Linked DNA regions of Oreochromis niloticus. The protein of the gene in region 1 purifies or fractionates together with the protein of each later gene. This does not show direct contact. Links are inferred from orthologs where the notes say so. Each region holds a gene or a part of one and is shown in the gene's direction. Other genes may lie near its edges.

Evidence for each region. Proteins that work in one complex are often made in the same cells at the same time.
Region 2: the proteins of pnn (region 1) and prpf4bb purify together in Homo sapiens (affinity purification with mass spectrometry; 5 studies listed by BioGRID and IntAct, counting the BioPlex papers as one, with this or other methods). This does not show direct contact. The link is inferred for Oreochromis niloticus from reciprocal best matches to the Homo sapiens genes PNN and PRP4K.
Region 3: the proteins of pnn (region 1) and ncbp3 purify together in Homo sapiens (co-immunoprecipitation; 3 studies listed by BioGRID and IntAct, counting the BioPlex papers as one, with this or other methods). This does not show direct contact. The link is inferred for Oreochromis niloticus from reciprocal best matches to the Homo sapiens genes PNN and NCBP3.

The regions. Positions count from the first base shown.
Region 1 is NC_031983.2:25,169,699-25,177,492, reverse strand, and holds the start of pnn (pinin), read left to right. Parts: upstream 1-4,789; 5' UTR 4,790-4,834; coding exon 4,835-4,947; intron 4,948-5,360; coding exon 5,361-5,441; intron 5,442-6,504; coding exon 6,505-6,576; intron 6,577-6,920; coding exon 6,921-6,996; intron 6,997-7,111; coding exon 7,112-7,206; intron 7,207-7,353; coding exon 7,354-7,429; intron 7,430-7,563; coding exon 7,564-7,719; intron 7,720-7,794. UniProt on the Homo sapiens protein: Transcriptional activator binding to the E-box 1 core sequence of the E-cadherin promoter gene; the core-binding sequence is 5'CAGGTG-3'. Capable of reversing CTBP1-mediated transcription repression.
Region 2 is NC_031974.2:14,009,786-14,017,486, forward strand, and holds the start of prpf4bb (pre-mRNA processing factor 4Bb), read left to right. Parts: upstream 1-4,694; 5' UTR 4,695-4,841; coding exon 4,842-4,900; intron 4,901-6,057; coding exon 6,058-6,148; intron 6,149-6,422; coding exon 6,423-7,558; intron 7,559-7,701. UniProt on the Homo sapiens protein: Serine/threonine kinase involved in spliceosomal assembly as well as mitosis and signaling regulation. Connects chromatin mediated regulation of transcription and pre-mRNA splicing.
Region 3 is NC_031975.2:32,673,349-32,680,549, forward strand, and holds the start of ncbp3 (nuclear cap-binding protein subunit 3), read left to right. Parts: upstream 1-4,194; 5' UTR 4,195-4,284; coding exon 4,285-4,461; intron 4,462-5,320; coding exon 5,321-5,386; intron 5,387-5,640; coding exon 5,641-5,746; intron 5,747-5,843; coding exon 5,844-5,969; intron 5,970-6,102; coding exon 6,103-6,228; intron 6,229-6,300; coding exon 6,301-6,452; intron 6,453-6,535; coding exon 6,536-6,641; intron 6,642-7,201. Other genes in the region: rap1 GTPase-activating protein 2, read left to right, coding at 438-542, 631-722, 939-1,067, 1,147-1,243, 1,369-1,426, 1,502-1,572, 1,750-1,761. UniProt on the Homo sapiens protein: Associates with NCBP1/CBP80 to form an alternative cap-binding complex (CBC) which plays a key role in mRNA export. NCBP3 serves as adapter protein linking the capped RNAs (m7GpppG-capped RNA) to NCBP1/CBP80.

The DNA.
Region 1 (7,794 bases):
CGACTCGAGGGTTTCTGATGTTGACTCTCAGGATGTTCTGGAAAATGAAACTTAACTTAAATAGCTTAAGAAAAAGAGGTAGTAAGATGGTTGTGGGCCTGAAGCCTTCCCTAAAAGACATTCAGGGCTGGTTCAATGTTTCTGGAGGATTAACATGAAGAGACAGGGTTTCCTCATAGCAAGGTTGTATATTTATTTTTTTTTAGGTTTGTTTTTTCTCATTGAAATGCTTTGACCACAGACTACTACCAGTACATGCAGGACTGAATGAGCTCACAGAGGGCTGGTCGCATGCAGGAATGTGACAAATCTGATTAGCATCCTGATGTGTTTCAGTAACTTGGAGACAAACACTGGATGTGCGTTGCACTGGTATAAAATCAGTCCTGTAACAGAGATAAGTAGATGTGTTTGAGGCTAGATGTACTAGCACTGACAGGAAGTTTGGACACTCCGGCTTTTAGTTTTCCAGCCAGCTGATGTTGATGATGATGATGATGATGATGATGATGTTGTCAGCCTGGGTGCGATAGTAATGGTGTTATCATTTACTTGCTTCTCTGTAGATGTAGAGGCGAAACAACAAAATGGCACTGATGGCATTAACCTGGCCAAATTCTGTCAGTATCGTTGGTGCATGGCGAGATTCACGCAGCGCCTGACTGTATCATGGACCTGATAGATATTCATGCTCAGTGTCGGCCAACTATCTCCATTTAGATCTCAGCTACTGTGGCTGTGATGTTTCTGGCTGGTAAACAAAGTCGTTCTTGTCAAGTCTGGAGAGCCAAACCTCCTAATTAGCCAGGCAGGCAGGCCTGCTGCCCAGTCCAGCAATACAACTATGCAAGAGGAATGCATATAATCCACACTCACCCTCTTTTTCTTTTTTCTTTTCCTCCTATTTTTATATTTGGTTTTTCTCACTGTCATACAATAGAAGCGAAGATGTAAACTAATAAGAACTTGCAATGACAATACTTGGCCTTATGATGATTTCTGAAATCTTATCGTTTAGTTTTAAGATCTTTTTGATTCTGGTCAGCCAGCCCAGCGACAGCAGCGGTGACGGCGGGCTCACTCTTGGTCTCTGTGAGACTGGCTAGATGGCCCCAGTTTTATCGTGGTACGAATGTTGTGCATTTGTTTAAAATCAGGACAGTTTGCAATAACAGCAGTCTTACTAGTGGCCACAAAGGGGGCACAAGCAGTGCTGACGGCGCCCGGCTGCATCTTTAGAAAAACCATAGAGGAAGAAATATAAACTATATAGATATCTAAACTCACACAGTGCATATTTGTATAGGTATCAACACTGCATTACCGTGGTATACTCTTATGCAACACATGTCCGGGTTCAATTTATGAACATGAAGTATACTCTGAAGTCACGCAGACTTTGTAAATCAGAAGCTCTGTTGTTGTGTGTTTTTTGCAGAAATGGTTTTACCATCGTTAATGTTGAATATTCTGAGCGTAACGTTCCTGTGCGACTGTGTCGGTTAACGTGAGCACATAGCACCAGGTTATTACCTCCTTTCTGTAAGCAGGGAACCAGACTGAACCCAGAACACAGCTGGACAGACTTCAGGTACCACAGAGCATATTTCAGAAACAAAAACTTCCAAATCTGTTCTGCACAGAGCTTTAAAAGCGAGTCAGTGCTGTAACTCACCTGAGCTATGTCAAACAGACCAAGGTGTGATTAAAAGAATGGCTTGTGGATTTTTAAGACCAAGCAAAACCGAGTTTTACCCTCAATGTCTATAAGAAAAGGCACATAAAAGTGATATTTGAACTCATCCCAGCTGTTTTTTGGATTAGTCTGCAGGGAAAGAGTCCTCTGGAAGTAAGAGGACAGATTTTATCATTGAACAGTGTTGATCCATGGCTCTGTGGTGAAGAAAAGGGAGGACATGTTATAAACCTCCATGTAAAACCTCTGACCTGACAGATGGCATACACTTGAGGGGTCAACCTGACGAATGTTGATTTGAATTATTGTGGAATGAATGCTTCTCTTCTTTTAGTCAGTGAATAAAAACAATAAAATGTCACTTGCTTCGTTTGTCTTTTTTTTTTTTTTTTTTCTTTTTTTTTTTTTCCTTAAATCCATTTAAAAACTGGCATTGGAAAGAAGTCGTCTGTCGTTCTGCAATCTCCAATCATCAAACCAAACCAGACCATTATTGTGCATGAATGTCAAGTAGACCCAAAACTAACTCGGTCACAATTAGTCTGCAGGGACATTACATGACCCACTGGTTTCCCGTGTGTCTTTAAGTAGCCTATTGTGTCTTTTTCACACCTCCACACCCGTTAGTGCAAAAAAACAATAACTGCTCCTCATGACCTTTGGGTTGTTTTTTTTTTTTTGTTGTTGTTGTTGTTTGTTTTTTTTGAATGGGTTCAACTCACCAAATTTTAAATGACATTTCTCAGTTATTAACCATTTCCACGCCTACAATGGACATAAGCATTAGAAAAGATTCCTGAGATGATGAAAAAGACGACTTGGTCTTGCCTTTTCTTTTAAGGTCACCCATTTAATGCAATAATCAAAGCTGTTAACCCACCTCAATGGTTTTGTTATCTATCTGATGTGGCTCAGTCGAGTGGGTAAGTGAGAAAGTGCCACTGAAGAATTTGATGAAATAATCAAATGTAAAGAAAATGTTAAACTGCCCCACCCACCCCCACCAGAAAATTCCTCATCTTTACTTGTTAAGTCCCTCCCCACCGAACAACGATATTACACAATGTTATTTTGCCATTTCTTTGTTTACTCAGAGGAAGTCCCTGCAGCGCACCACGGGGACTTCCTTTGAGTAAACAGCATAAAGCACTTGCAAATGGATCTATGGAAGCCCAGAGATGTAAAACATAAGACAAGAAAAACGTGTCTCTCCTTTTTAGCTCTTCTGCAAAATCCTGCTCCAAAAAATATTTCACAGGTTAAAATATTCCCCTGTGATGATTTCAATATCCTTCTGCTCCTGCTCTCCTGCTTCCACATTACTGATTTCACACCAGCCTGTCACCACAGACTTGCTTTTTATCTGCTCAAAAATGTCTTCCAACAATAATTTTAATCATAGTTTGAAGACGCCAATGTCAGAAATGAAACGGGCAAGAAAATGCCCCTCATGTCAGTATACACTCACCTACCACTTCATTAGGTACACCTCTTTAAACACAACTATCTTACCTGAACGTAATTCAACCCATTTGGATACGTAGACATGGTCAAAACAACGTGCTGAACTTCAAACCGAGATTCAGAATGTAGAAGAAAGGTGATATACGTGGTTTTACAACCCACGCATGCACAAGAGCCTCTCTGAAGGCACAGCACATTAAACCTTGAAGCATATGAACTACAGCAGGAGAAGACCACATCAAGCGGCCCTACTGTAAGCTAAGAAAGTGGAGCCATAATTCAGTTTTAGTAATATGTTGGAATAAATGTTTTATGGGTTGCCTTTCCCAACTGTAATGTACTATTATGCATCACAAATTGCTAAAAAGCAGTCTGCTAACAGTAAAGTTAATTAAAAAGCTTTTTAATTAATGGACAGGAATAACTGTTTTGCACTAATGCTGCAGGTCTCAGACAAAGAGCTCGTTCTCATCTGGATAATGAGACAAGGAGATTATCATTGTGGCATTTCACAATTAAGCTGAAACAACAACACATTTTTTTCCCAACCAACAGTCAGAGGAGTGGGTTTTAGAAGGCTGGGTTCTCTGTTGTGTAATTAAATGCATGATGACATCAGTGTTATTGGACTGGTAGTAGAATGATATGAAAGAATCATCAGCAGAATTGTAGCGCACACTGTTAAAAGCCAGGAAATCAGCTGTGGTTTGATGCTTGGTTTCCACTTTGATATGCAAGAGCTGCAACAGCGGGACTCAGAAGGGTTTTATTTTCAATCCGGGGCTCGCAGCTCGGAGCCGGCTTCCTCAGTTACTGATAGAGATCAAAAGAGGCAGGCAGGCACCCTGAATCTGGCTGTCAGGAGAAGAAAGAGTGTCTGTACTCAGGAGGAGTGAAATAAAAGAACACTTTCTTCATTCCTGTCCTTAATCCAGTCTCGAGAGTATCGTCTGTATCTTTTAAACCTCTCATGAAGCTTTAGTAAAAACAGATACAAATCAGATGTTTTAAGTCTAAATTTATTCTGCTGATGCTAACTTGAGAAGTAAATCCTCTTGCTCTATGCAAATTGTGATACATTTCTTCTGGTTTAATTCCTTTGTGACTTCTGAGGATTCACAGATATTTTGTGCCTTCTTACAACATTTCACATATAGCACTTTTCACCACCTGGAAAGGGTCTTAATTTATTGTCTTCTACAGAAGTAAGAGGCTATAACACTGAACCATGTGTCTTCTTATGAAATTAGATAATACGCTTTTCATTTAGTTGACTCTCAGAGAAGATATAGGTGCACTGTTGGCTGAAATAGCACACACTGTGATATGTGATCAGTCCTGCAGTGGTGAATAATCCGCTGCTTCTTGCCTTCAGTTGCTTCCTTGTACTTTAGTGTGTGTGTTGTACTGTTCTGTCAACATTTTTACTTTGAATTTAGTTTGATCAACTTTAAAGACCCTTCTAAGGCTGGGAAAATTAATTTTATTTCAGATACACGCAAACACACCTTTCACCCCCGATTTTAGAACCAATACATACACGTTAGTAAGCATTATCCATCCCTGACCAGAGGGTGGCGGTGATGCGTTGATAAAGAGACAGGATGCAAAGGAAGAAGAGTCTAGAAGTAGAAGAAGAGGACGAACACGTGATTCGCGCTAACTGGAAGCAAGATGGCGGTGGCAGTGCGGAGTTTGCAAGACCAGCTAGAAAAAGCCAAGGAAAGTTTGAAGCATGTGGACGATAATATTCGTAAACTGACCGGACGTGATCCTAATGAATCAAGGTAAAAAGCTTAACTGGTTATTTAGTTTTTTAGCGAGTTCCTGGAGTGAAGCTGAAGAGCTGTACTCAGTCGACGTGTGCTAAGTTAGCGTGGGTCGGCTAACCTGCAAACAGCACCGCCTCCTTGTTTTGTGTCGCACATATAATGTTTTTACCATCTTAATTTATTCGCATCAAACGAATAAAAATTAACCAAATTGGTAACTTCTTAAAATATTGAATTGGAACATTAAATCTGGTAGATGAACAGAGTCGAGGCCCTGCAGGAGGCGTCGTCCGGGCGGCACATCACTTTGTCTTGCTTAATAATAAAACGGTTCTGCAGCAACACAAACGCATAATGTTAAAGTGAGTCTTATTTGTCAGACTGTATTCTTTCTTTTGTGTTAACCTCGGTGTCCCCTGTGCTTGCAGGCCGGGTCAGATCCGTCGGCTTGGCGGCCCCATGGCAGGCCCTGGAGGAGGAGGTAGAGGCAGAGGAATAAACCTGCTCAGGTAAATCTTTGCGCTCCCCATCTCGGAAAAAAAGAGCTTTAGATTTTCAACTTTAGTGGGTGATCTGAAAAGTATATACAACAGTACCCCCCCCCCCCCCCCCCCCCCCCTTCCCCAATCACACATCTTCCACAATCTATTCAATGTGAGACTTGGCGTCACGTCACTTCTTAAATAAGCCTTGTTGTGAAGGTTTGAACTGGGTTGTTGCTGGTTACAGAATGCAAGGCGTAGTTTATGACCATTTGCACAATAGCGCACTTATAATCATATTGATTTCATCAGTTAGACGTTAAAAGGGGGAATTGTTGTGCTTTTTTTCATATTAATAGCCACGGGGAAGTTAATTATCAGAAGCAGAAACTATGTAACTTTCACTAAGTAAGTAGCTTGGTTTACAAAGTGTAATGGACTGAGAAGCTGCCCCATTTTGTGTTATAATTTGCTTTGGGGTTTGTTTGGTTTTTTTTGTGAACCATCCACATCTACTATAGCCAAGAACAAAAACATGGAGTTGAGGATAAATGTTAATCACATTTGTCTGATGTTTTTATGATTCAGTCTGTAAAGGAAGCACTGTTGAAACACATTTTCTGTTTCAGTTAAATGTTCAAAGAGGGTTTGAAAATGGTTGTTTTTTGTCTTGATGCATGCTCAATCATCCAAGTAATTAAATCCCAGGAAGTTGATTGTTCATCAGGGCGTTGTTTTTAGTGGGCAAAACTTTTGGCTGCTCATTCAAGTGACTTAATATGCAAAGTGCTATGACCACTTAAGGACAATGAAACTGACCTCACGACCCATTGTTGGTCCTTAACGGTAGTTTCGGTCATTATGCAAATAAACTGTTTAAAAGGTTGGGGAAACCTAGGGTCAGCTCAGTCTGAGCTCAGTCACTTGGATGAGTGAAGCATTTCTGACTGAAAACAACACGTCCAGATGAACGGAATCAGCTTTCTTGGAGTTTCTTTGCGTCTCTCCAAAAAAAGGTAGAATAAATTATTTAAACCGCAAAAAATTCAGTCTGTGCATCTCTAAAGTTTTCCTCTTTGTCCTTTCTCAGACGCAGTCTCTCAGACATGGGAAGCGGCGGCCCTCCTGCCAAGCAAAGGGACATCGAAGGAGCCCTGCTAAGGTGAGATCTCGACTTGAAATATAATATAGTGATTGGGTAGTTTCTAGTTTTGGAGCTTGTGTAACACATTTTACCTGAAACCCTTCATTAATATTAAGATTATTTAACAAGTATAAGAAAATATGTTTCTTGTTGGGGGGGGGTGTTATGTAGACTAAAACAAGTTTTCTAGAGTAAATTGTATCAGACTGAAAGTACAACAGCATTTCTGCACATGTAAGGCATTAATTGAATGAATTCTCAGCTTTCTGTACTTTTTTTTTTTTTTTTTTTTTTTTTTTCCCTCCTTGTCTTGATTTCAAAGTACCATCTCTTATGAGTATTTGATCTTTGTGTGGCTGCAGGCTGGCAGGGGACCAGAGGGCCAGGAGGGACATGCGTCACGACAGCGACGCTGAGGATGACGATGATGTCAAAAAGGTAATTTTGTCAAAAATACTTGATCAGTATTTGCTGCCTCACAGTGGGTTTTTTTTTTTTTTTCTGCTTTGAAGTGATAAAAATCCTAACAATTTGCTTCTTGTCCTTCCTTCAGCCGGCGTTGCAGTCGTCTGTAGTAGCTACCTCCAAAGAGAGAACGCGCCGAGATCTCATTCAGGACCAAACCATGGATGAGAGGGGCAAACAGAGGTAGCTCTTAAACTCTAGATTTACATTCAGATTTGATTACTAAATAGTCTGAGCCATGATCAGTTTAATTTCATCTGGCAAATGGCAAAACGTGTCTACAGCTGAGAATTAAGTGTGTGATGGTGGTGTTTGTATTGTCTTGGTCAGGAATCGGCGCATGTTCGGCCTGCTCATGGGGACCCTACAGAAATTCAAGCAGGAGTCAAATGTCTCTTCAGAAAAGGTGAGGAATAGATTCATCTTTTGCTTGGTTATGAGAGCAGTATTTTTGAAAATATAGGTTTCTGTGTTGATGAGGTCATAAATTCCATGATTTTTTTCTTGTTCTGCTTCATATTTCTGTTTGTCATCCTGCAGCAAAAGCGACGTTCTGAGATTGAGCAGAAGCTCGAGGTTCAGGCTGAGGCTGAGAGAAAGAAGGTGGAGAATGAAAAGAGGGAGCTGTTTGAAGAGAGGAGAGCCAAGCAGACAGAGCTGAGACTTCTGGAGCAGAAAGTGGAATTGGCTCAATTGGTAAGACAGTGTATTTGTTTGAAAGTGGGACTAGCATGAAAGTGGCTGAGTTTTGTTTATTTTTAATGAAACTGG
Region 2 (7,701 bases), on another chromosome or scaffold:
TTATAAGATACAGTACACTAGTTCCAGTTTGTAACCTGGGTGGTTTTACACTGTTTATTTTGTGACGCAGCTGTTGGACCTACAGCACTGCTTAAATATCGCCATTACAGGCTTTGACTGTCACCCATATGCAATTTTACAGCCATGCTTAACTAAGCACTTGAGAGGAGTAAAATTAAGGGTTTCTGCAACTCCTGTTTTCTAATTTGTCAGCCCTTCACAGACGTTCTCCTCTGCCACACCCTGCACCTACACTGATGATCTTAACGTCCACAATGAACTTCAAGTCACCGCCCAGTCTGGCTGAAGTTACAAGACTTTCTTAATTTTAATTTTAATTAGTATAAACCTAAAAATGAAACCAATGGCGAATAACACTGATACTTATGTTACAATCTACTAGGCTCCTGGTATTCATGTGGATGTCATTTTGACACATGCCACCCACCTAAACACTGCAAAGCAAGCACCCCACCCCATGGAAAAGGCACCCCACCCAGAACAGCACAAAAAAACTGATTCCAACTTCCCAGATTCCAGTACTGATCAGGCATTTGCAGTACACAGTGGAACAAACCCAGTGTCCATTGCCCCAACTGGTCTGAGCTGTTTTGGATTTCAGAAGGGGTTTTTTCTGGTTGTTCTCATCCTTTCCTTAAAGCAAACATCAACTGAATCCCCCCGATTCAGGGAGTATGGCCATATGCTTAGCCCATACTCCCAAACCCACTTCTTTGCCCTTGTAAATTGTATGCCAGCTCTTATTCTCTCAGAAAAGTAAATAACAGAGGCTCGTAAAGCAAAACTGTTAAGAAGACAAGAGAAAGAAAAAATATGGATACATCTGTCAGGGAACAAATGACATCTGCTTGATAGGAGCAGGCGCTCTTTTTTTATTTAGAAGAGCTGCCTAAGCGTCACATTGAGGAAGTCATTCTGAGCTATAACTCTATCTTTGTCTGCAGCAGCAGACAAAACCCAGTGAAGAGTGCAGAGGCTAGGGTGACAGCGGGTTAGCAAACTGCCTGAGCGTCTTTAACAGGCTCTATAATGGACTGTGGTTGTCTTCAGCGAGCATTTGTTGGACCCCATGTTTTATGGCCCCGTCCTTATTGTGTCTCCAGTAAAGCCCAAAGAGCAGAGGGCTGAAAAGTCAAGGTAGGCTTAATGTCTGCTTGGGTTTTTTTCTCAGGGAAATACGAGTTGCAGTCATGAATCAGATCTACCGTGTCAGTGCGCCATTATTTGTGAAATGTCCATTCATCAGTAATGTGGCTGCAGATCTTAGAGCACAGTCATTGTATAACTGTGCAAAGGTGCAGTTTTTACCCATGCTAACAATTCAATTCAATTTTATTTATACAGCGTGAAATCACAGCAACAGTCACCTCAAGGCGCTTTATATTGTAAGGTAGAGTCTACAATAATACATACAGAGAAAAACCCAACTATCATATGACCCCCCTATGAGTAAGCACTTTGGCGACAGTGGGAAGGAAAAACTCCCTTTTAACAGGAAGAAACCTCCAGCAGAACCAGGCTCAGGGAGGGGCGGGGCCATCTGCTGCGACCGGTTGGGGAGAGAAAAGTAAGACAGTACAAAAGACATGCTGTGAAAGAGAGCCAGAGATTAATACAGGTAACAGCATGTCCATGTATCAGTACGTGGTTGAGCAGCCCATATGTGCATTATGACCTTTTAAACAAGTATTCTCACAAGATGAAACACATTATTTTTCATCAGCAGCTTATTTTGCATATGTTGTTCTCTGTAATCACAATGATGCTGATCAAATAGCATCAAAATGCTAATCAAAAGCATCCCTAGAAAAAGGAAGACTGGAGCTCTAAAAGACATAATCACTAAATATGAAGGAAAACAAATTAGTTATAAATGAACTGGTTCAACTGATTTTGACATATACTGCAGCTAGCCACAGAGGAACATTCACAATATCTTGGCTTCGCCTCTGGGTAGCTGGCATGTCACACAGCCCTATCCAATCTGGCTCTAACTCTGTGACAAATGTTCTGATTAAGGGCCTCATCATTTATGGGTATGGATCGAAATATAGCAGCAATCGTCAGGATGCTTCGGACTTTCTCGACTTGAAACAGGATGTTGTGATCAGCACCTTCTCCCAAAGTATGTAATCATTACTTATCCTTCTAGCATTACAGCTTACTGCTGCTATTATTCGACACTTGTGCCAAACAGTGAAATGGTACTCTCATTAAAGTCAGATGGATTTATTCTAGATTTACAGTTGTACAGATGTAAAGTTTAATCAGATTTTTAACCTAAAATAAGGATATAGGAACTGTTAAAATAAAGCTTCCTGCATCTGAAGATCTTATCTTATATCGTTACACGATATAAGTAGTTACACACCTCATAAGTCATACAATGTAAGACACAGAGATTGGTCTTTAGATTGCACAGCAGAATGGAGTATACAACATTTGCCTCGTACTGTATACTGCCATGATTTACTGGGGACACTGGGATGGGGCTGTGAACTAATGGAATATCTAATGTCTCTGTGACAGAGACTTTAATCAGTTGTGAGACCTCCAGCTTGCAACTTTACCATATAAATCTGAGATAGGCTGCACGACAGAAGGCCCAGGCTGCGAGTTACATCCTGAGACTCTCTGTGTTTATACTCTGTACATACAGTGTGGATTTATGTGAGAGGGGTTCCAGTAAAACTCAAGTCGCGTTGGGTATTTTTCGGTATATACTTGTTGTACTTGTAAACAAAATTTCAGAGTACTCAAGCATACACAAATCAAGATGTCAGCAAACACATGATGATAATAGTACCATCTGCAGTATCATCATTTGCCAGAAAATCTCATCCCATCTGCCAGGATGTCAGCATTAACACCGTTATGTCTTCATGCTTCCATTACTTCGTCACTGTTGTGGAGCAGCCACAGGTGTCTCACAATACCACAATTTACTGCTTGATATAAAACTGTCAGTGGATAATGCCCAGCCCTTGAATGGGCTTGCATCCTTGAAAGTCATGCGGTTTCACAGAGCTGTGCTCAGAAGCTACCGCTTACAGCTCGCAACTTTTTGTGTTGCGAACATGATGCCTCAGATCTGTCTGACTAGATTTTGCATTTTGTATGAAGCAACACGATAAAGCAGATGTGGTGTTTGGTATTTTTTTAACTCTGTCTTTCAGAGTCACATGCTGTTTTTCCCCTTTGCAGAAGGATTACCACTTTCTGATACTGGACTTGTTCTTGTTTTTGCAGGTCTGATGACTACCATAAGTAAAAGGCTATTTATAGAACTGTGTAGAAGTGTTGAAGCGCTGATCATTTCTGCATTTTTTGCTAGGATGTATGGAAATATCTTAGCTAAGTTGTCTGTCATGTGTAGGCATTATACTGGTTCATCCCTTGTGCTATGTGTCTTTTTATGCTTGGATGATTCATAGGTCAGTGTTAAGTGGCTTAACAAACTCACACAAAAAGCACATTCCTCTAAGGTACAAGAACCTGACCAATGACCTGCCTTTTATTTACAGTATCCTCTTTAAATAAAAGGCAATAAAGTTCAGACACAGAACTCAAGTATCACACAGTGAGACGCTTTTACTTGTTCTATTTTTACCACAATAATACTAAGTAACTTCCGCAAAATCATTGCTGTTAAAATGTTGCACTGGAGATAAAACTGTAATCATTCATGTGTCATTTTGTTGACCATTGGCGCACACTGAGGTGCGCAATTGTGACGCGCACGAGGGGTTTTCAGCAACCACGTGAACCACTACACATGATCCACCTGTAGTTAACCTCCTGGGCCATCCTGTGGTAAAAGCAGACCGAGCAGGCTCCAACAGCCTGTCCTTTGCACGACTATGTTTTCAGTTTTTCTATAGCCAATGTGGTCATTTAAAATCCTGTATCCAAGTCTTCAGGTCGCCCATCGATTTATACAGAAAAAATACGAAAATTCAAAAAAGATCAAGTACATTGTGGGGTATTTATTATACATTTGTTTTTATTATCCTTTATTTATCCAGGTGAAAAGTTTCAGTGAGATTTAAATCTAATTTCCAAGAAAGACCTGGCCAATAGGGCAGCAAAAGCCACAGCAAATACGACGCATAATAATATGACAAGTAAAAAACAAATAATATATTGCATACGGACAAGTGAGCACAAACATGTGAATAACACACAACAGCAGATCATTAAAAGCCACATTAAAAACAGTCACACTGGCTAAAAGAGCTATTCTCTCGCTCCTTTAAATATACATACAGGACAATACATACAGTACACAAACAGTAAATATAAATTTCGAGTAACGCACCTTAAAATTTCTTGATAATGACTTAATTTCTTGAGTTGCGTATCTCAGAACACTGACTTACTCTGCAATGTTTCCATTTGTACGTTAGCATTTCGAAATTCTGAGATAATAACACGAAATTTCAACATTCTCAACTTAAAAACTTTGGTTAATAACTTTACATTTCGAATTGCTTATTACAAATTTTCCACTCAGAAATAACTTGAAATTTCAAGATGCTTAATAGATGAAAGATTTGACATAATTACCAAAAATTTTCAAAAATTTTAATTTGGCAGTTGTTCGGGGAGGGGGGGTGTATATGTGTGTGACGTAAGTGGCTAATATGAACATTTCAAGTTACACGAGCACACACTCTAGTGGACAAAGAACAGACTTCAGTGCACAAATCCTGACTGCGATGCGCCGCCAAAACACCAGAGGAACGTGTCAGTATTTTGATATCATTGTACCCATGTGGTGAAAGTAGCCGAAGAAGAAAAAGCCCCCTCAGCTGAGGAAAATGGCCGACGTTGAGATGGACATCTCGTCCAGGAGAATGAATAATGGCAACGAGCACGTGTAAGTTATTAAATTACAGATATTTAAAGTTTGTGGCAGTAAGTTATAGGCCTCTTTCAGGTCGAAAATGAAGGGAAGTGTTAGCATCGCCGGGGCTAACGGAGTAGCAGGTTCACGTTGTTGCCGGGGCATGCTCAAGATAGGCTAACGTTCTTGGCTAGCTAGCTAACGTTCTTTAGCGCGGCTAGCACTAAGTTTCGGTGATAGCATGCAGAAGTGTACCTCATCCGCGTTTGTGTGTATTTGCCTCAATAAAGTGTACCTGCTAAGCCACACACAGTGTAAGGTTTGTACTCCCTCCCAAGCAGCTATTATGTAATGTAAGTTAGCATAGCTAAAATTATTCACGGGATGTAGCTGGTTAGCACTAACTTTGCTAAAGACGGTTAGCATGTCAGAGCTAATGAGTGAAAATCATCTTGGCGGTCTCGCTCGGGGAAAGAGGGAGCAAGTGAAGGTTACACGGGGATTTACCGAGTGTCACTTTCTCATCAACGAGTGGTTCTGATGAGTATTTCTACAGTTTCCTGCTAAACTGACCACATTATATAATCCCGGTATACCTGATGTTAAACACCTTACGGTAACCTAAAATGCTACACTTCGGGCGATGATGGGTTAAACTCGGAAATGAATGTTGTGTAATCTATGGACTGATTTTTAGACTAAATGCTCACGATGTCTGCAAGTTACCTCGAGGAAAGAATAGCCAGCTTTATGGTCTTTTTTTATGTGCATGTATAAAAATTAAAACCACTGATGATGATGTTGTATGATGTTTGCTGCTGTGAATAGTGTTCACTTCATTGTGTGTTAAAGAAATAATAATTGGACAGAGTTTCCTATTTTGCCAGATTTAAAAAAGATTTGATGTGTAAATGAAATTTTTAGTTGATTATCATAGTTTTTTATATCCCAGACACTGTTACTTAAACTTAAGCACCTGTCAGTATTTTGGACAGATGGCAGAACTCTGTGTGTCTCATTCTATGGCATGTTATCAGTTGCATTCAGGGTCAGGCTGTGTGTTCCTACTACCAGTCCAAAAACTATATTTAACCCAGTTGCGTGTATTTTTTAGACCTTTGTTTCCTTTTGACTTCAGTCAGCCAAATAATTTAGCACTAAAGTAATTAAATATTCTTTTTTTGAAACAGGAAGCAAGATCTGGAAAGCCATGAACGAAGTGGAAATGAGGACAGTGGCGACATATCTGAAGAGGAGGAGGAGGAGGTAGGGGTTGACAATGTGAGGACCTAAATGCCATCAGTGGTGTCATCTCTTTTAACACAAATCTCAAACTATAACAAACTGTGCTACTATAACTTGCTGTAAGATCACCTTTAACCAAAATTTAGTAACACTTTTTGTCTATATCAGTCATTCTGAATACAGTCTAGGTTTGTTAGGTGGTAAAAACTCAAAGAAAACAAGATTGTATCTATGTTTACACCATAACTAAGAATTACAAAGATCATCTGTCAACTAAATTGATTGTTATCCTGGTATGTTCACATGCTAGGAGGAGGCTGAAACTAACGGCGAGAAGACAGAGGAGGGGTCCAAACATCACAGCAGTAGCGGTAAACACAAGCGGAAAAAACACAAGCATCGCAGTAAGCACAAAAAGCACAAACATGCCTCTGATGAGGACAAGGACCGCAAACGCAAGCATCGTCACAAACATAGGAAACACAAACGCAAAGAGGGCTCCTCTCCCTCCGCCGCTGTCCTCTTTGGCTCCTCTACTCATAGAAAAGTTGAATCTTCTCCTTCTTCTGGAAATCCAAGTCTGGATGACAGGGCCTTGCTGGAGGATTTGGAGAAACAGAGGGCCATGATCAAAGCTGAACTTGACAGCCAGTTGATGGAGGGAAAAGTTCAGTCTGGCATGGGTTTGATTCTTCAGGGGTATAACTCTGGATCTGAAGAGGATGGAGATGCAAGGTTCAGAAATGGAGAACCACGACAAAGGGGCAGCTCAGGTAAACCTATATCACCCAGAGGAGGAAAAAGTGGCAAATCTAGACGGGACTCAACAGAGGGCAGTAAGTCTAGCTCCAAACGCCGTAGTCGGAGTAAGTCTGCAGACAAGCCGGCCAAGGAGTCTAAGCAGGACAAGGTGACCAAAAGCACCAAGGACACAGGTGTAAAAGACAGAGGGCGTGGAAGGAGCAGGTCAAAAGACAGGAAGCGTTCACACAGCACTGATAGGTCCAAGGAGAGAAGGAAGTCCAACTCTCCTTCCAGCTTCAGGGCAGAGCAGAAAGTCGGCCGCACTGATAAACGGTCCTCTCCGCAGCGGGATGATAGACCCAACCAGGAAAGAGTGAGCCGACGGTCCAGATCGCCTGGACGGGAACGGCCAAGTCGCTCAGACGCTGACCGGGACAAACGGCCAGCCAAGTCACCATCCAAGGACACTTCTTTAGGAAAGGAAAACCGTTCCCCTCATAGACGAGGGGCTCACAGCCCTGCAAGGAAACGCAGCGCTTCCCCTCGCCATAGAGATGCCCGCTACCCTTCGGCTAGTGCCTCAGAAAGGACATCAAAACAGAGCCACTCTCCTTCCAGAACTAGGTTCTCGCCCCAGAGACGCCGTAGCCGCTCACCAGAGGTCAGGAGGCGAGATGCTGAGAGGCAGGAGTCACCACTGAGGTTAGTGCACACCTCTGGCTTTTCCACCGTTTCCCAGAATAAGCTGATTGTGACAGATGACAGAATTGCCTTTCAGTTTCAGATGAATAAAAGTGAGTTTGCAAAAATGTAAAATATTTAAGTGTTCATTTATAAAAACGAAA
Region 3 (7,201 bases), on another chromosome or scaffold:
CCACTTAGAAACATGTGTAACAAAGTAAGAGACATATATTATATACAGCACGTTATATTTTCCCTCATCGATGAATTATGAAGTAAATTTATTTCTTTTTTATTTACTTTCTTGAACTTACGCACTTTTCTGTCCAACTTTCATTGATAATGAAGTTAAATCAACGCAGTCTTTATCCACAACATTATGTTTAATTAGTAAGAAAATCATTTTTACAGCAACAAAAAAATATTTCTTAGGAAAAACATGAATTTCATAGCCAGTAAAACCGGAGATAAGTTTTTATTTCAGTTGCAAACGGCTGCTTTCTGTATTAGAGTCACAGTCACACTGTGTAGATACCTAGAGCTTTTATTGTGAAAGGCGAGGACAGGAAGAAGCCATTTGTGTCAAACAAATCAGGATTCCATTACTGGACATCACTTCTTCCATTTCAGAGGGCGATGCGAGGGAGGAGCGTCTCCATGGAGACCATGTCGAGGGGCGGGGCTGGACTGCCCACCAGTTTGAGTGGGGGGGGTCTGGCACACCTGAACGTGGAGGTGAGTTGTTCTGCAGGTAACTGAAGGAGCAGGTTGAACCCCGCTCGTCTGTGAGCGGCTGTAACACCTGGACTCTTTGCGTTGGCAGTGTAACGTCAAGTCTCCCGTGAAGCGGCGCTCGGGACTTTTTCCTCGCCTGCTGAGCGTCGACAGCCAAACAGAGAAGCACAGCCAGCGGAGGTAACGCTGCCCAACGCTCTCCTGTCTCTCAGTTTGTTTACCTGGACAATAAAGTTCAAACCCACCAGTGTGCATGTCAGCACTGCTGCACAGGTGGGGGCACACCTTCAGGAGAGCCAGTCTCAGCAGGTGTGCTGCGTGTTACTGAGCTAACAGCTCTTACCTGCTTTCAGGACATTAACCCCGCCTCCTCCTGTCTCTGTTACGCCTCCTCAGCCTCCCCGGTGAGCAGAGGAGCTTCGACGGATGCCACCCGATGCTGGAGGTGAGGCCGGAGCTGCCGTCCAATCCTAGCACTCCGGAGGCGGGGCAGCGGGACAGGTGTGTGCAGCAGAAGCAGCAACAGTAAGAAATGAAAGAAGCAGATGTTTCAGTTTTCACTGCGAAACAATAAACTTCATCACTTTTTTACTTTTATCGGCAGGATTCACACGAAGAAGGAGAGCAGTAAGATTTCCAGGTCGACATCCAGCACCTGCAGCTTCAGCATCCCAGCTGACGACACACACCTGGTGAGACAGGTGAAAACACACTTAAACCATCTGTTGGGTCAGCGTTATATTCAGCTCAGTGTTATTTAGGGCGCCTTGTATTGTAATGCAGACCCTCATCAATGCGTCCTCCCTCTGTGTCTCTACGTGTATAGGCTGCGACGGTAGAAGGTCAGAGTTCAGCTCCGGTCATCGTGTGCCGCAGCCCCACAGGTGCGACGCCCGCTCACCGCCAGCGTTTCTGTTCTGGAGCCGTTCTCACGTCTCGTTTGCTCTCTCCTCTCTCAGAGCTGAAAAACAAGAACTCGCCCAGATCCAACCTGAAATTTCGCTTCGACAAGCTCAGCCACTCCGCCGCAGTAAGTCTGTGTGACAGCCAATCAGCAGGCTCGCTGTTTACCTGAATATGCGGAGCAGCTGATTGGGCTGCACGCCTCCAGGACGTCACTGCTTTTTGTTATTTTGTTCAGTGTGATTTTTCAAGTATTTTCTGTGTAATCTGATTACTGAGTGTGAAACCTTCCTTCTGTCTGCAGCAGGGACACTGAGCTGACAGGACGCCGCTGACAGGTGTGTGCTTTCCCAGAAGTCCGATTTTAAATTCCATTTTTCAAAGTGCTGCTTCTGTCACTCTGTTCTGCTTCTGAGTCTACTTCCTGCTTTATTTTGAAAGTTAGTTCCTCCTGTAGCGTCTCGTGTTTTACTTCCTGTCTTGGTTGGCGTTCTCGCCCTGGCGCTTGTCTTGGGTGGCTCGTGTTCACACTTTCTGGGCCATGATGTGAGCGACTCTCTGAGCTGGGTTTGATGTGTTCCTCTTTCTCTCGCTGCTTTCCAGAATAAAAGCCTGAAGCTTCAAACAGACGGCAGTCTCCACACAGGAGGAGGAGGAGGAGGAGGAGGAGGAGCAGGAGCAGGAGGAGGAGAGTCTCCTGATGGACCACCACACACACATACTTGTCTTTCTGTCTTTGTGAGGACCCCAAGTGCAGCTCTCCTGTTTCTGTCTGTTTTTTTCTTCTCATCTTCTGCACAAACCATAAAATCATTTCTGAACAGGACACTGAACACGTAGTTCTTTTTAAACCGTCCTACAGTCAAGTTCGACCCACAGAGCTCTCCCTGTTTTGCGCTTCTTTCAGTGTAAGATGTAAAGAGGAGGCTCGCTCGTTCCCTAGAAACTTTATTTATCACAGAAACACCAGGGGGCGCTGCAGAGAGGGGCTGAGATTCCACCCAAAGGACCAGGACCCGAGCAGCTAAGCTTCCCTGAGGGGCAGCGGTTAATGCCCCTCTCCCCAAACACCGCTGAGGTGCTCCCATCCAGCTGGGAGATGTCCTCTCTGCGGGGGTCCAATCATTTCAACCAAAACAAGAAAAACAAAAACAGCACAGCAGCTCAAAGTTTGGGGATTCACTCATATCAGAGGCAACCACAAGAACTGCAACTACCCGCCCCCTGTCTCCCTGTTAGATGACTGGTCCTGAGTGCTGTTTAGTCTTTTTGTCAGCCGGCACGGTGCTGGTCCCCCCGAAGGTTCCTGGTCCTGGAGGAGAGTTCCTGCGGTGGATGCGAGGCCTTTACAGGCCTAAAGTTTGTCGTTGGGTCGTGACTCTGATGGTTTCTCAACACAGACACAGGAAGGCGAGCGCATGCACTCAGGTTAAAAAGGACGGAAATACAGGAAACACGTTAACTGCTGGAGCTGCTCGGTCTGCGCGTCCATGCTGAGCTCTGTGGGATTTATTCTTATTAATAACAAATAATAACACGTGGCTGTGGGTTCAGATTCAGACACGTTAGAGACAGACGCTGCCGTTCTCCTCACACATTACAACGTCGTGAGCTCAACCTGAACCTTTTTTAAACTGCAACCAAATCAGTTTCACTCCTGCTGCAGGAGTCGCAGTGTGATGATCTGCAGCACACAGGGTCTGAGCGACGGGGGTCAGGTGGGCGGTGCTGCAGGTGAGTCAGAGAGGTGGAGCTGCTGGAGGTCAGGGAGAAGAACAAGAAGCGCTGTGATTGGTCTGATGATGGGGTCTGAAGCTTCGCTCTCCCTCTCTGAGAGACGTTCGCACTAATCACGCCAAGTCTCCAGGTCACTCACTCCACTGGAAGCTGCACAGCTGCAGGAGTTCAGCTTTTCAAAATAAAAGATGATGCAGCATGAACACAAAGATGTCTGCGCAGTTTTCTGATGTCATAAAGTGTGTGTGTGTGTGTGTGTTGTAAAACCTGTAAAACTGAACATTTCACAAATAAAAATCAGCTTCTTTCAGTGTTTGTTGTTGTTTTTGTCGTTTCATTTTCTCCCAACTTTTTTTTAAATTTTTTTTTTTTACTGAAGACCCGCTTCATCTGCAGACGTCATTTTTCATACTAACCAGCAGCTACAAACTGCCTCAGAACCAGATGCTGGTTAAAGTTCAAAACATTAAAAAAGTTGATTGTTCTTTTGTAAAAGAACCAAAACTAACAAGGAATTATTGACTAGCTGTTCTTCTTATTTCGTGTTCGTGTTTATTTGTGCATTAGTATGTCTCAGTATCGGTTATGAAACAATTAAAGCAAATAAATATGAAACTTTATAAATAAGAGAAAGAAAAGTTATTGTTTAAATAACGGGATGAATAAACGTTTTTATACTGCGTTTTCATTACTTTCCATTTCCGTTACAGCCTTGTGTTTATGTATTTATTTATTTATTGTAATTCTGACAATGTTATCTTGATTACCTGTTTATTAATTACTTTGTACTTTTTTGTTTAGATTTTTCAGACATTGTGCAGTACACTTCAGCCCTGTTATACTTAGGGCTGTTTACATTTACACATTTATTAAAAACATTGGTTTACATGTTTTAATATATCGTCTGTGACGCTGTTAAAGTGTCTGTTATTCAGCACCGCCCTCTGCTGAGCATGACATCATGTTTTACCTTTAATAACCGCAGGGGGCGGAAGAGCTCCGGCGCGCCGCCTGCAGGCCGCAGAAGAAGTCGTAGGTACCGTTTCCGGGTCAGCCAAGAGCCGCAGCGCTAGAGGCCGTTGTTCGCTGCTGGGTTAGCACCATGGCGGCAGTACGCAGCTTGCGGGTCTCGGTGAAATCAGACAGCGGCTCCGACCGCTCGGACTCGGACTCCGAGTCGGACAGAGATGCCCGCGAAGCCGAGCCGATGGAGGTGGAGGAGGGAGAGCTGGACCCCGAGGACATCTCCGTTAACCGCTCTCTGAAGGAGCTGCTGCCGGTAAGCCCGGACTAGGCCCCGGCACTCCGGGGACTGGCGTCTCCGTCGCCCGGCAGATCCGCGGGAAGTGTCGGCTAGCGGTTACTTGGACTCCCGGCTCTCTCCCGGGAGTCAGCCGCCCCCCTCCCTCCGCGCTGTAGGGGCTGCCGATGAGCGGCGGGGGCCTCGCGTTAACCGGGCTGGTTTACGTTTTCGACATGTTTGCGGGGTTCGTGTTTATTTCAGTCACTTGTTGCTGTGTTCACGTGCTGTTTGTGTGGAGCGCACGTCCCACCAAACTCTATTTAAAAAACATCGAATTTAAGATGTTTACGTGTAATAAAAAAAAAGAAAAAGCAGAGACCGCAGAGTGCTCATTTTCCGCAACTATTTCAGCAGGTATGCGCATACCGAACAGTTCTGCTTTCTTCTAAGCGTGAACCTGGATTTCATTATTCTTCCTTTGTTATTTACTCTTCCTGCTAGTGTAGAGCGTCCCTGCCACCAAACCTCATCTAAAACTAGGAAGTTTGACGTTTTTACGTGCAGAGAAATGCAAAACGGGTGAAGTTATTCGATTTGAATGCATGCACACTTAGTAGTTTTTATACCTTCGCGGGTGTTTCCTCTCCCTGCTAGCACACCAACAGTATCCAGAGCAGTTTATCAGCTGGAGAAATGAAGGTTTTCTTCTTGTGTGAAAGTCACATTAGAGTTGAGTCTTTACTGTGGAGGCCTGTGTGGCTGCTGCTGTGGACTTCATACAGCCTGTGTTTCCCATGTGTTTACAGTCACTTTGTAATGTTGCTGAAGCAAACAAACAGAAACGGCTCAAAGAGAAAGTGAAACCGTGGCTCACTGCTGTCTGTCTGTTTCACAGGACACCAGTCGGCGGTATGAGAACAAGGCTGGAGCCTTCATCACTGGAATCGACGTCAACTCTAAGGTAAACCATCAGAGAGTGTGTGTGTGTGTGTGTGGGCGTTAGGCTGCCACTTTAAAGTGTTTCTCACTGTGGGCGATGTTAGTGAAGTACATGCAAGAGTCTCTGAGCGCCTGTAGGGTCAGGACTCATGTGAGTGACCTTTCCAAAGGTCACCATGACCTGATGATATCAGGTAAAGAGTGATAGCTGAGTGGGAAGCTCAGGGTTCAAACTCCTCTGAATACTCGACTTATTTCCTTTTTCTTCCTCATCAGGAGGCGATCGAGAGGAAAGAGAAGCGAGCGCAGCGTTTCCATTTCCACGGGGAGGAGAAGATCGGCCAGCGGAACGTTTTCCTGGATAAAGACGCCATGAAGAAAGGTACGTGTCCTCCATGACTGTCAGCAGGCAGAGCCAACCTTTTCCTGATGAGGAGCTCGTTTAACATGTCGTCGTCTTCTTCTTCTGTGGTGCCCAGCCATCCCCCAGCTGCGCATGGAGGCAATCCATGTGATGGGCGTGGACGACATGAGCACGCAGGACGTCTTCGGGTACTTTAAAGAGTATCCTCCGGCTCACATCGAGTGGATCGACGACACTTCCTGTGAGTACGGCATGCAGACAGAAGAGCCCGGCTGCGGAGCTCATGAAGCTACTGCACGGGGCGGGGCATGTGACTCTCCCAGCCAATCACAGCTCAGGTCAAACCCTGTTCTCACCACCTGATGGTTTCCTAGGTAACGTGGTTTGGCTGGATGACGACACCCCCATTCGGGCGCTTATCAACACCAGCCGGATGCCTGACTCGGAGGCTGTTACCACGGAGACGGGAGGCACCAGCCAGCCGGGCGAGCAGAGCAAAGGTGAGTTCGAGTACTGTAGGGGAAACCACCAGAAGCCTCAGGGCATTGTGGGTAAATGTTACGATGTCGCAGGTCGGCGAGGTCAAGGGTCAGATGACGAGGACGATGAAGAGGAGGAGGGCGAGGTAGACGAAGGTGAAGAGGAAACGGCGAAGAAGCGCAGCGAGGAGATTGAGGGGAGAGACAGCGACGCAGAGACAAAGACGAAATCTGAGAGCGGACAGGTAGGACGCCACCTGACCAATCATCAGGTTTACTGACCAGTGCCCAAAAGTGATCGATGATGTCATCGGCTGTGTGCGCGCAGGCCGACCTGTCGCGGGCGGAGAGAGCATCCCTGCTGAGGAACGACCTACGGCCCGCCATCAAACCCTTCAAAGGAAACAAGCTGCTGCTGCGCTTCGCCACGCAAGGTGACACACACACACACTCACACACGCACAAGCCCATTCAGCTATCTTAGTGAGGACCTTCATTGACATAATGGTTTCCCTGCCCTCTTACCCTAACCCAGGGGTCAGCAACCTTTTACACCCAAAGAGCCACTTGGACCCGGTTTCCACGCAAAAGAAAACACTGGGAGCCGCAAATACTTTTTGACATCTAAAATGAAGATAACACTGTATATATTGTTTGTTTTATCTTTGTGCTTTGTGTAAACAACTAAAGTAAGTAAGTAAAGTTTATTTATTAAGCACTTTTCACAGACAGGCAGTCACAAAGCGCTGTACACAAATATTAAAATAAACACTACAATCAATAGACATTATACACAATGTAAAAGATCTAATGTAAATAATGTAAAGAATATAAAATACGTAGATCAACAAAAGGCTTGTTTGAACAGAAAGGTTTTTAACTGCTTTTTAAAAGAATCCACAGAGAAACTAAGGTGTGCTGCTTATGAAATCCATGAAGTGCTACAGAGAAAATTACATTTTATTTATGTAATTAACACATTTTGAACTCTTAA